Nothobranchius furzeri: one gene and its partners. The protein of the gene in region 1 interacts with the protein of each later gene in a biochemical or structural test. Links are inferred from orthologs where the notes say so. Each region holds a gene or a part of one and is shown in the gene's direction. Other genes may lie near its edges.

Evidence for each region. The genes of interacting proteins can lie anywhere in the genome.
Region 2: the proteins of rbx1 (region 1) and ube2d4 form a complex in vitro, tested with the Homo sapiens proteins (2 studies listed by BioGRID). The link is inferred for Nothobranchius furzeri from reciprocal best matches to the Homo sapiens genes RBX1 and UBE2D4.
Region 3: the proteins of rbx1 (region 1) and ube2m form a complex in vitro, tested with the Homo sapiens proteins (15 studies listed by BioGRID and IntAct, with this or other methods). The link is inferred for Nothobranchius furzeri from reciprocal best matches to the Homo sapiens genes RBX1 and UBE2M.

Annotation. Positions count from the first base shown.
Region 1 is NC_091752.1:65,786,293-65,789,852, reverse strand, and holds rbx1 (E3 ubiquitin-protein ligase RBX1), read left to right. Parts: upstream 1-1,362; 5' UTR 1,363-1,420; coding exon 1,421-1,498; intron 1,499-2,179; coding exon 2,180-2,258; intron 2,259-2,334; coding exon 2,335-2,405; intron 2,406-2,558; coding exon 2,559-2,644; intron 2,645-2,728; coding exon 2,729-2,741; 3' UTR 2,742-2,874; downstream 2,875-3,560. UniProt on the Homo sapiens protein: E3 ubiquitin ligase component of multiple cullin-RING-based E3 ubiquitin-protein ligase (CRLs) complexes which mediate the ubiquitination and subsequent proteasomal degradation of target proteins, including proteins involved in cell cycle progression, signal transduction, transcription and transcription-coupled nucleotide excision repair.
Region 2 is NC_091757.1:38,230,430-38,234,650, forward strand, and holds the start of ube2d4 (ubiquitin-conjugating enzyme E2 D4), read left to right. Parts: upstream 1-1,421; 5' UTR 1,422-1,688; coding exon 1,689-1,712; intron 1,713-4,221. UniProt on the Homo sapiens protein: Accepts ubiquitin from the E1 complex and catalyzes its covalent attachment to other proteins. In vitro able to promote polyubiquitination using all 7 ubiquitin Lys residues, but may prefer 'Lys-11' and 'Lys-48'-linked polyubiquitination.
Region 3 is NC_091745.1:29,824,603-29,828,554, forward strand, and holds the start of ube2m (NEDD8-conjugating enzyme Ubc12), read left to right. Parts: upstream 1-1,152; 5' UTR 1,153-1,367; coding exon 1,368-1,482; intron 1,483-3,745; coding exon 3,746-3,840; intron 3,841-3,952.

The DNA of each region.
Region 1 (3,560 bases):
AATAATTTTAAATGGTATGTTTTGTTTTGAAGGAATCTACAGGAAGTGTAATGCTTTGTTTAGCTTTATGAACGCTACCTGTAGTAACAGTTTTCGGCCGCTAGAGGGCGAAAAATACTCACGACAGCCAGGGAAAATATAATAATGCTAAAAGATTGAGTTCTCATGTTTGAAAAATTTGTACCTTATAACGAATAATTTCTACACGAATGTCCCTGTGTGTGTTTATTAGATGTAGTTGGGTGTTTATTGGTCTTGAACTAATAGTTTTACATCAGACGGGTTTGATTTGACAAACTCATGCTGATAAAAATATTAGTACCTAAATATATGTATCTCATATCACCTATTAAGAATTACATTTTTAAAATGAATAAAAATCCCTCTAAATCTTAGCGAAGCCAGCCATGCCCATGCTTCCAAATGGGAAGCAAATGAAGTCCTCTCGTAGATGTAGTTTTGCCCTGTGGCCGCCAGTGGGCGTATAATCGAATGTTTGTGGGGCTGATAGCTAGCTTCTTTAGCCTATTGATTTAATCTTGTTTAACACGAATAACTGAAATACATTTATCAAGTTTCATTAGTTAAATTGTTTTATTGTGTATTTTCCGATTTTATACTAACTGTGTTTTTAACGCCAATTTAAAAATCGTAATTTTTAAGTTGTATGAATGTAGTACCTGCAGCAACCCGATTTCTCCAGCAGAGAGCGCAAATTAAAGGATTGAGTACGCAGGTGTTTTAATACTCTGATGGATATATTTATTTGCATTATTTAGGTCAATCAAATAAAACGACAGATTGCAAGTAATTGAATTAAAAGTTTATTATATACAAAGAACAACCAGTATAAAGAACCGCATTTCTATTATGTTACAGGTTATGTCTGCTATGTTGGTCTTTTGCCACTGGAGGGCGTCAACTCCCCATTCTCGCTCATTTGCAGCGTTGTAGCTAGGGGAGTGTGTGGTACACAGTAGTGTGATGAGTATGACGCAGTGTGTAGCTCAGATAGATACACCTTTCTATACAGCATGAGAAGTTTTTTTTTTTTTTTTTTGCATGAGAAATTAAGGGTGTGTAAAAGCAATGAATAAAAGCAATACATGTGCTATTGATTTAACAAATTCTTTACAGAGAAATGTTAATAAGCAGGGGTTCCATGGTGTAATGGTTAGCACTCTGGACTCTGAATCCAGCGATCCGAGTTCAAATCTCGGTGGAACCTGACCTTTTAACCAATACTTCTTCAAATATTAAGAGTGTCAACGGTAACAATTCAGAAATACAACCTGATTTTGTTTTTTCAAAAATTATTAAGAAAATAATATTTTCTTTCGAAAATTTGCTTAATCTGGTCGAACAGGAAGTGACGCTATTTTCCGGTAAAACTTAGATAAACGCTTCCGGAGAGTTCAAAATGGCAGCAGCAATGGATGTTGACACGCCAAGCGGTACAAATAGTGGAGCAAGCAAGAAGCGCTTTGAAGTGAAAAAGGTACGATAGTTGAAAGTTTGTCTGTGTTGACTAAACTAAACGGTGCACTTTGTCAGCAACGCCGAAAGGTTTAGCCCAACATTAGCTAACGCTAGCTTGCTAAACACCGTTATCGGTGTTTAGCTGTTAGCCTGCTACAAGAAATAATTAATCATTATTCTGTTTATGGCCTTAAAGTCTAAACTAGAACTTGTAGAGAAATAAGAGCGATGATAAACTCTCAGTAGTTACACAATAACAGCACGATTTAAAAATGGACAAATACCTCTTTAATCTCTTAGTCTACATGCTAAATTAGCTTAGTCAGCTAAGCTGTACATCTCGAAATTTCCCAAGATTTAAAGTATTTAAATGACTGTCACATTTCCTCAGGATAAAATGTTAAGTAGTTTTGATGACAAGGTTTTTTTTCTCCTATTCATTACATAATTTAAAAGTAACGGTACTGATAGAGAAGGATTTTATTAATCAGATTTTAATTAACTCCTTTTCTAGATTGAGGTGTCCATGGAAGCATTTTTTAATCAAAGGTTGAAAAACTTTATTTGTAAGATAACTTTGAATTAGTACTGAATGTCAGAGACCCTACAATGAGCCATAGAATTAAGGTTTTTATTTCCAGGTATGAGGTCCTTCATTTTAAGTTACCTTCCTATGAACAGAATGTGATTTTTGTTCCAGTGGAATGCTGTTGCACTGTGGGCCTGGGACATAGTGGTGGATAATTGTGCTATCTGTAGGAACCACATCATGGATCTGTGTAAGTTCACATAGGGGTGTTTGATTGCATGTGAGTTGTTGGCAGCCCTCTTACACAATTCCTCATCCTTCATCAGGCATAGAGTGCCAGGCCAACCAAGCTTCTGCAACCTCAGAAGAGTGCACTGTGGCCTGGGGTGTCTGCAATGTGAGTTTCTAAGGTGCAACTTTCAGTAGGATGATAGATATGGGTCATTTGACTCTGAAAGGCACTCTACAAGTGCAGATCACTTATTTTTCAGTCTTTGCATCTTTGTTAAACTGCTATCCAGTCGTTTAAACATTTCCTTACCTTCCATAGCATGCCTTCCATTTCCACTGTATCTCCCGTTGGCTGAAGACCAGACAGGTGTGTCCCCTGGACAACAGGGAGTGGGAGTTTCAGAAGTGAGTCGGATCCATTAATGCATATATGATTTTGAGGATTGTTTGATGCTTGACTCAAACACATTTTCGTTTTTTCTTTCGCAGATACGGACACTAGTTGTGATATTGACCTGTTCCTTGGCTTCTGCGAGCATCAACCTTTCACTTTCCATTTTGCTTCCTGCTCATATACCTAGATGTTATTTTACATGTTTTGCTATGTTGTAATTCAATAAACTGTAAAACCATCAGTCTTCAGGAGGATGTAATCACATTTGAATTGAAGTCGTAAAACTAGATTAAGTGCACATGATATGCTCAACCATGCACCTTCATAGTTTAGTTCATGAGGTACATTGTGTTGGGACGAAAGTCACGAGCATCTACAGCCACGTGGAATGACATGAGATCTGACACGGCTGTAATCCTCAAGCTACAAAACAAGCAGCACAGCTGGATTAAACGTCTGGACTACACATACCGCCTGAATAATGAAATAACTCACATGCTTATTTAATTTAGTTTATTTAATAATCAGATTAATTTAAAAACCAATAAAATGGAACAAAATGTTTTTAAATAGTTTTATTGTGAATATTTTTCCAACAGGGTGAGACAGACATCCTTTTATTTGCATTTATAACAGATTAATAACAAAACATGCCAACGCTCGTGAGAGTTCGGCTGTGTTCAGAGACAGACAGAGGTTAAACCACGTATTAAATGGCTGTAGAAACGTTCATATCTTAATACGAGGGGGGAGGGGCAATCTAGCAGTGCAGCCGTTTCAATAAAAAAAAAAGATCAACCTGCTGTTAAATGAAGTTCCAGCTGAAACAAGGTTATCCCAGATTCCAACATCATTCCTAACCGTCGGGATGCTTTGATTAGATGTTGCTATAGAACTAAGGTGTTGATTAGGATCATTGTTTATAAA
Region 2 (4,221 bases), on another chromosome or scaffold:
ACTGGTTGCCCGTGCAGTTCAGGATAAACTTCAAAATTATGCTTCTCACTTACAAATCCTTGAACCATCAAGCTCCTCCATATCTGTGTGAACTGGTCCATTACTACAACCCGCCGCGTGCTCTCAGGTCTGAAGATAAGCTCCTCCTAGCTGTTCCCAATGCACGTTTAAAAAGCCGTGGAGAGAGGGCTTTCTCTGTCTGTGCACCGAAGCTGTGGAACGCATTACCACTGCTAGTGAGGCTAGCACCAACAGCTAGCATTTTTAAATCACGCCTGAAAACTCACTACTTCAACCTAGCTTATACAACATAATTATGAACCTCACTGACATCTGCACTGTTTATAAACTGACTCCACAATTATCGACTTCCGTATTATTGAGGTTCTTTGTAAAATGTTTTTTCCTATTTTTACTTCACCCTGTGTCTTATTGATTTTTAGCTGTTATTTTTGGGAATTTTGTTGTATTTCCTTTTTATCTTTTATCTGTGTTCGACATGTTTATATAACGCCTGTTTAATTAACCAACATTTTTAGTGTACAGCGCCTTGTTTGGTTGTAATGCCTTGTGAATGCGCTTTATAAATAAAATTGGATTGGATTGGATTGGATATGGTACCAGCTAACGTCCTACGGTACCTCTTAGCCAATAGCGGTGTCAGATTCTGAGCAACTACAGCAATCAATTTCCCTCTGGGATTAATAACGTATTTTTGAACTGAATTTAATTAAAATTCAAATGCAGTGCAGAGTTTTTACCCGACAACAGCACAACACTGACAGTTTTAGGCAGAAAATTTAAATTTTAACTAAATTGCACTAAAGTGCAAAACTATTGACTGCATGTGTCTGCAGCATGATTAGACACGCATTTATATAGTTTATCAGGGAAAAAAAGGTTGATTTGGGGTGACTTGCTCTTTAACAACAGCCTCATCACTCCTACTAAATTTTGGCTTGCCATTGTTAAAACAAAATACAGAAAGACAAAATTGCGAAATTGCCCATCTGGATAAAGTGAATTTGATTGGGGTTAGAAAATAAGTAATCATTCATCTATCACCCACATGCAGTAAGTAGCTATTTTCATGTCACTAAAATGCATTAATGTTTTACTGAACTGAAGAGGGAATTGGGGGCCCAGTGTATCCCATATTTGTCAATCTTAGTATTTTTATACGCTTTTTCGATAAGCCTAAGCACTTTTGAAACCTGTACTTTTTACTTCTACCCAAGTATCATGCTTGAATTGATCCTTCAACTTCAACAGAAGTCTTTAAACCCCCTAGTATCTAAACTTGAGTAGTAAATATGTATATTTTTAAAGCCTCTGTTCTGTAGTCAATAAAATGACCCTTAAAATAGAAATCGTGACACTACCGACAGTGCCATTGTAGTTTTTAAACGAAAGCTCGCGATAGTAACTGTTTTCTCGGCACCGAGAAGAGAGAGGAATAGAAAGCTAAATATCTAAGTTGTTTTGTAGCTCTCTGACGAACCGAAAATTAATAGGTCGTGGGGAAATATTTGTCATAGAGCGAAAAAGCCGAAATTTACTGGATGTTAGACGTAATTTCATACCTGTAACTGAAGTGAGGTTTGATAGAACGCGGCTACAGAATCCAAATTGTATGTCTAAGGTGCTAACTGTTAGCTGACAGGCTACCTAGCATAGCCGCCGAAGCAATGGCGTTGAAAAGAATTCAGAAGGTGAGTGTTTATATTTATTAAGTTTAAGACATGATTCAGATTCGATTTTTCTTCCTCTTTTCGAACCGTTTTGATAAAGTACATGTGTGTGGTGTTTTAGAGGTGAACTAGCTACGCCGTTGAGCGTTTTGTTCATTTAAAAAATAATTCAAAGACAAAGGCGAGCTGACCAACGGTGGCCCGGTTTGTGCTTGGCTAACATTAACGTAACTACCCAATTAAGCTTTCATTTGGGTTATTACATCCTGCTCGTCTGACATTTTTCATATTAATCCTGAAACTTTGATAAGGACTCTGGAGTAAGAAGTTGTTACTGTTACTTCGTGGGAGGTTAGCTTTCCTGCTAACGGTTGTAACGTGTAGTCCTTGCCTGGATTTTGTTCTTGATCACTAATTTATCAGTCACATTTATCGTTTTAGTTTACCTTGTAAAATTATGTATGACGACGTATAAATTCGCTGAATGACAGCTGCTCGATTGTTGCCAAAACTGAACCCTAGAGTCAGTGTTGCCATATATGGAATGGCAAATGGGGCACTGGAACAGGCCATGGTGTGTATTTATATAATAGGCTTCCTTACATGAGATGTTAAATAACAGGCTTAATTTCTGTTCAAGCACCGTGTTTTGCTGTCTGTGCTTTTGTGTGTGATGCAAATGTAGATTGGTTACTTGGGCTGTGGACTGAGTTAATTTGATTTAGTTTCGTTTTTGTCCATTTTGTGTTGTATTTTTAATATTTGTAGTTATTATGTGTTTGCTAAACTAAACAGCTTGTCCTTATTTTCTGGAAGTATGTCTATAAAACAACATTTTGTGTTGCACAATGATGTCATGTCTGAAGTTGAATTTTATTTGTACTGAAGATAAAAGAGGAAAAGTGTTGCAAATAGGGCTGCACTGTGCATCGCAAATGTATCGTCATCACACTATCAGCATACACAATACTCATATTGCAAAGAACAGAAAAAAACTGCAATAAAGGATCATCTTAATTTTTTTCTACACATAATAAAGCATATTGTCAGTCAAACTGAAGCATTACGTTTTTGACTGATCAAATAGTCCTTCACCTGTTTGGCCAATTGGGTGAGTTCTTATAGGTTAGATACCGCCACCTAGGTAGACAGCACTTCATTTGGATGGCTAGCAAACACCAGAGTTAGCTGTGTTCTGCTCTTTCTGCCGACTATTCTTTTCCTGGGATCCCCTGAGTCTTTATTTTATTTTTATGATTTGGTTTTTGATACATTTTTTTTGTTCTTGAGTTACTATTTATGTATTGCAAGTCATATAATCATCGCAAAAATAATCACTGTAATTGTGCATCGTAGGTTTTCCTAATATTGTGCAGCCCTAGTGTTAAATACATTGTTTTGCAGGAACTTCAACCACAAGTTGTTGTAGGAATGTATAAATGAATATAAAACTTTGCAGCTCTGACAAATACCTCTCCATATCTTTAAACCGCAGATGTTACAGTGCTTGCTTTAACAGATATGTTCACATAAATGAACCCTGCTGTATGTTTATTGCAGCATTTAATTTGTAACTGTTACTTACACAAGCTGTTGTCTTTTTTTCCCTAATATATGAACTTGAGAAACTGAAAAGGCACATTTTGTAGTAAAAGCATGAAATTCTGCAAAAGTGTTTTAAAGAGCAAGTCAAAGAATGGTGATGTAGGACTTGGGAGTGCAGGCTGCTGCCTGAGGGGTGGTTGGAGACGGTGTCTCCATGCTGCTTTGTTTTGGTCACTTATGTGCGTGAGGCGAGTGGTGTTACGACCCTTCCTGGGGAGTTTGGCTCGTGTGCAAAAAGGAAGGGACAATAACACAGGATTTAAAAGTTAAAATGATGATCAGGTTTATTTACAACAACAACAAAAAACCATAAATCTTTCCATCCACAGGTTGGGAATAATAAAACTAATTCTGCCTGTGGGGAATTAAAACAAAAGTACAAATAACTAGGGATGTCCCGCAGGGCAAAGATTACTGGGTTCTGGACCAAAATAAGAATCTCCAAAGGTCCAAACTCTAAACTGGGTGGTTAAACCAAACTCAAGGTGAAATTTTAAACTAAACCGAAAACCCACGACACTCTAAATGTAATAAAAGGGAGATCTACGCCACAAAAAAGATGAACTCTAAACCAAATCGTAACAGCTTATCCTATCGCAAGAAGCTGTTAGCGAAAATGCTAACAGTAGCTTTACCAACATTAAGTTCAAGTTACCAAGTTTAAATAAACCAAAAATACCCAGCAGCAAACAGACCAGCATGGAGGAGAGACTGCTACCACAAAAACAGCTCTCCTAATGTCTGAAAGAAGCTCCTTTATGAAGGGAGAAACTCTCCCGGTGATTTTCTACATCTGCGGTAGACACGAAGCAGCGCATTTGATCCCAGAAGTTGTTGTCCGTTGCCGGGAGATGAAGGCGGGCAAAACAGGCAAAGAATCTAGTAGCAGACGGACATTGTTCCAGTTCTTCGGTATTTGGCGGAG
Region 3 (3,952 bases), on another chromosome or scaffold:
TGTTAGCAGGCTAGTAGACTGTCCGCCCCCTGCGGTTGCTTCCTCTTTTAGTATCCAGTGATAATGAACAGTAAATTAGGCAGGTGGAGAGGAATTACACTGACTGAGCTGAAAACGCACGCACACGCACGCACGCACACACACAGCGCCCTCTCACCTCTTCCTTTCAGCTCGCATGGTCCTCGTTCACTCATCAGAATCAATATTAGCGAGCCGTTAGCTTCAGCTAAGCGCTTCCTTGTTTGTTCCTCCGCCGGGCTGCTGCTGTTCGCTTCGGGCTGCTTCATTCGCGTCCCATTGCTCCGGCGAGCTCCCAGGCCGGGCCAGCCTTAACGGACCCGTGCAGGGTCGAAATGTCTCGATAGCCGAACCGATCGATTAGGATACAGTGAAGGGCACAGTGATGCTGACTGAGTCGTGCCCATTCACTCCCCTCTCTGTCCCTCTGTCTGCAGTGTGAGACTGCCTCACTCTCCCCTCAGCACGTTCTGCTCCTCTTCCTCCCGCGAGGCTTCAAAAACACAAACACATACAAAAACACACACACAACTGCACACAACAACACGCAAAGGGTTCGTTCTCACTAACATCTACGCGCACGTGTAACCCTCCGCAAGAACTAGTCCCCGCGCATTAACATGAATATGAGCAAAACGCAGCGCGCGGCTTTTGTTCTCGTGTCTATTGTGCAGCGGTTGTTTGCGTGATGTGCGTGATCTGGATTATCATTAATGCCACTCAACCATGACATGTCTTTCACCAGCGCATTCATCATATCACGCAGGTGACCTTACGGTGTGCATCTTTACACCGGTCTGTAAGGAATAAAATAAAATAAACCTAGTGAATAAAATATGGGCAGGCAATATACCTTGGCCCCGCCTTTTGCGTGATGACATCACGGCTAGTCTACTGGCATATGTAGTTTTTTCTTAATGTATTTTGTTAAAAAAATAGATCCTGAATATAAATTCAATTAAAGTGTGCAATAATTATAGATATTAAATAACGAAATTATATTAAAAACAATAATAACTATGGCTTTTCTAACTATGACCCTTCTGCTATCAAGGTTGGCCTCAGGCTTGCCTATTAGTCACGTGACAGTCCTTACCAGTTTACCTCTCCAATATGGCGCAATTAGTGACGTACCAATCCATGCGACGTCTGCACCCTCCTCCCCACCCGGCCTCTCCTGCGGGCTAACAGCTAGGTTAGCTCGGTGTGATTAGTTGAGACGCACCGGCTCCATCCACATTACGGTGCAGTTCGGGCTCATTTGGCTCTGTTAACACTCAGGACACACGGGGAGTTCGCACACTAAAGGGACTCAAGAGTTTAGGCCTCCGATTATCGAACAAGTGAAGATGATTAAGCTGTTCTCCCTGAAGCAGCAGAAGAAAGACGAGGAATCTGCTGGAGGAAACAGAGCCGGAGCCGGGGGCAAAAAAGCCAGCGCGGCCCAGCTTCGAATACAGAAAGGTAGGCTGGTTTCCCACCTCACCACCCTCTCAGCACCCCTGCCAGTCTTTCCTGCTTCCCGACTGTCCGGTTACTGGCAAACTACCGGGGGACACAGCCGTTTAGTGCCCGGTAGCCGTGAACTCAGGCCAGCTAACTGGTAGCAGGCTATTCAGAAGCTAACAACGGCTAGCTGCTGCTGCTGTATTTGAAAACAAAACAGAGACGCTCCAACTCCGTAACGATTTGGGGCCACCTTATCAGAACACAATCGTTAGGATATAAGACACATGTTTATTACGCATACCTCATTAACAGCCCACACAAACACTGTTTTCTAGTCGGGTTTTACGCGTTGGTGGGAGCTTTGGACAAGCTAACTTGCTGTGTCAGCCCTCTGTCACAAACTTCAGGTGTGACTGACTGGTGGTCAGATAGCCCAGGTCAAAGTGTATGTCGTTCATTTAAAGTGGAGCTGAAACACCCCCCTGCCTGGTTCCTGTCCTTAAACCAGCTCACACTGAGCTCGTCATGTCAAACACCCGCAGGTGCCCCTGTCCCCCAGGTGTTAGACACCTAGTTGGTCCTGTCAGGTGGTGAGAAATTGAAATGGTTCCTCAACAAGAAATCATCTCACCAAACTGGCAGGTAGGGTTAACATCTGTCCATTATGACTGTTAAACTGCTTACACTTTTGATAACGCACTCAAATACACGCCTATGAGGGTGCTGTTCTGGCCTCAGGGTTTCAGGCACCTATATGATGCAGTAGCATGGCAACTGAGGCATTGTTTACAAACACTGTGAAAGGCTAGTTTTTGAAACTAGACCCCTAAGTCCCTGAAGAGTTTAAAAGTAGATGGCAAAGGCAAAATGGAGAACAAAGAAGAGACCCAAGGTGTGATATTACTGGACAGTGCGTTGCTTAGAAAGACGCATGAGCCGGGTTCAAAACACACACTGGAGCAGCACGTCAGGGTAATACTGCCGCCACGTGGTTCTTTGGAATGCACCATGGTGGCTTGACGAGATGAGAATATTGCGTAGTTCGTTCCGTGAAACCTGATTGTACTATTATTGCAACATTGGACTTTTGAATGAAGTTCATGACTTCTTGCAACAGAGGGGGATGCCATGGTCATGGATGAAATGTCCACTAAGCCCTGGTTGGCAATAATTTTCCAAATGCAAGTTAACATGGGGAGTCCCTGTCGTGTTTGCAAACAGTGTCAGCGGAGATGGCAAACTGGCGTGGTGCAGATATCCAGAAGATCCTGGCTGTTAGAATTGAAGATCTGATCACAGGACAGTTCCCCTTTTGGGGTGGCTCACAAAAAAAACTTAAGGACTGTGGCTTCAAAAGAGATAAAAACAAGTTATGTCCAAGTTAAAAGGATGTCCATGATGACACAGAGATCACCCAGCACCCCTGTTATACAGCAACCATGTGATCTTTTGTGAAAAACATGATTGCACCCCATTATGGCCACAGGCTGACCACTTATGAATGATCAAATGCTCCCTTTGCGGCACTTTTTGCAAGTGGAGCATTTATTTATTTATTTATTGGAACAGGCTATAGAAGTAGTTAAAGCATTTACCCATACTGTCTCCATCCCAGCCTATATCATTAGCTCCTTTGATGGGACCCCAAGGCATTGTTTGGATATTTGCTGATGTCAACCTCCTGCTGCCACATTCTACTCAACTAAAGTCCTTGTATTAAATGAGCCAGCCTATCGTCCAACATGGTTATGTCTATTCCCGAGTCTGAGCTATCTCAGCTGGCATCTCTGGATGAGAAGAAGCAGCGGTTCTACTCAGTCCTCCTTGAATGTCTGAACTCCTCACTGTGTAAATTTCATTTTGGCAGCCTGTTATGATCTTGTTTTGTCATTCTTTACCACGACCATATGTGAGGGTTGGAATGTAAATCAACTAGAGATTCTTGTTTGTTTAATCAGTCGAAAGTTGTTTTGTACATCATCTTACTGACACCTCAGTCATTTCTACACAACACGTTCATAGAGGTCTCTGGAGTTCAGCCATGTTCTTCAGCTGCCCTCTCAGACGTCTGACTTGGTAATGCCCAAAAACACACAAGTTTAGGTCACCCTGTAATTCCTGTGTTGTCTCTGAAGTTGGAACTCTGGTTTTTAAGATATCATGTTAAATAAACGGCTGTCCAAACCAGTCACGTGCATGTGGTCTGTTTTTGTGTTCAAAGTGTTCTGTTGGTGCTGATCCAGTTAATTATAATTAAAATGATCTGTTTGTGTTTCAGACATCAATGAGTTGAATTTGCCAAAGACGTGTGAGATCAGCTTTCCAGATGATGATGACCTCCTCAACTTCAGACTCATCATCTCACCAGACGAGGTGTGTGTGTGTGTGTGTGTGTGTGTGTGTGTGTGTGTGTGTGTGTGTGTGTGTGTGTGTGTGTGCGTGTGTGTGTGTGTGAGATAAAGATTAGGTCTGTGGTTTGTTGTCA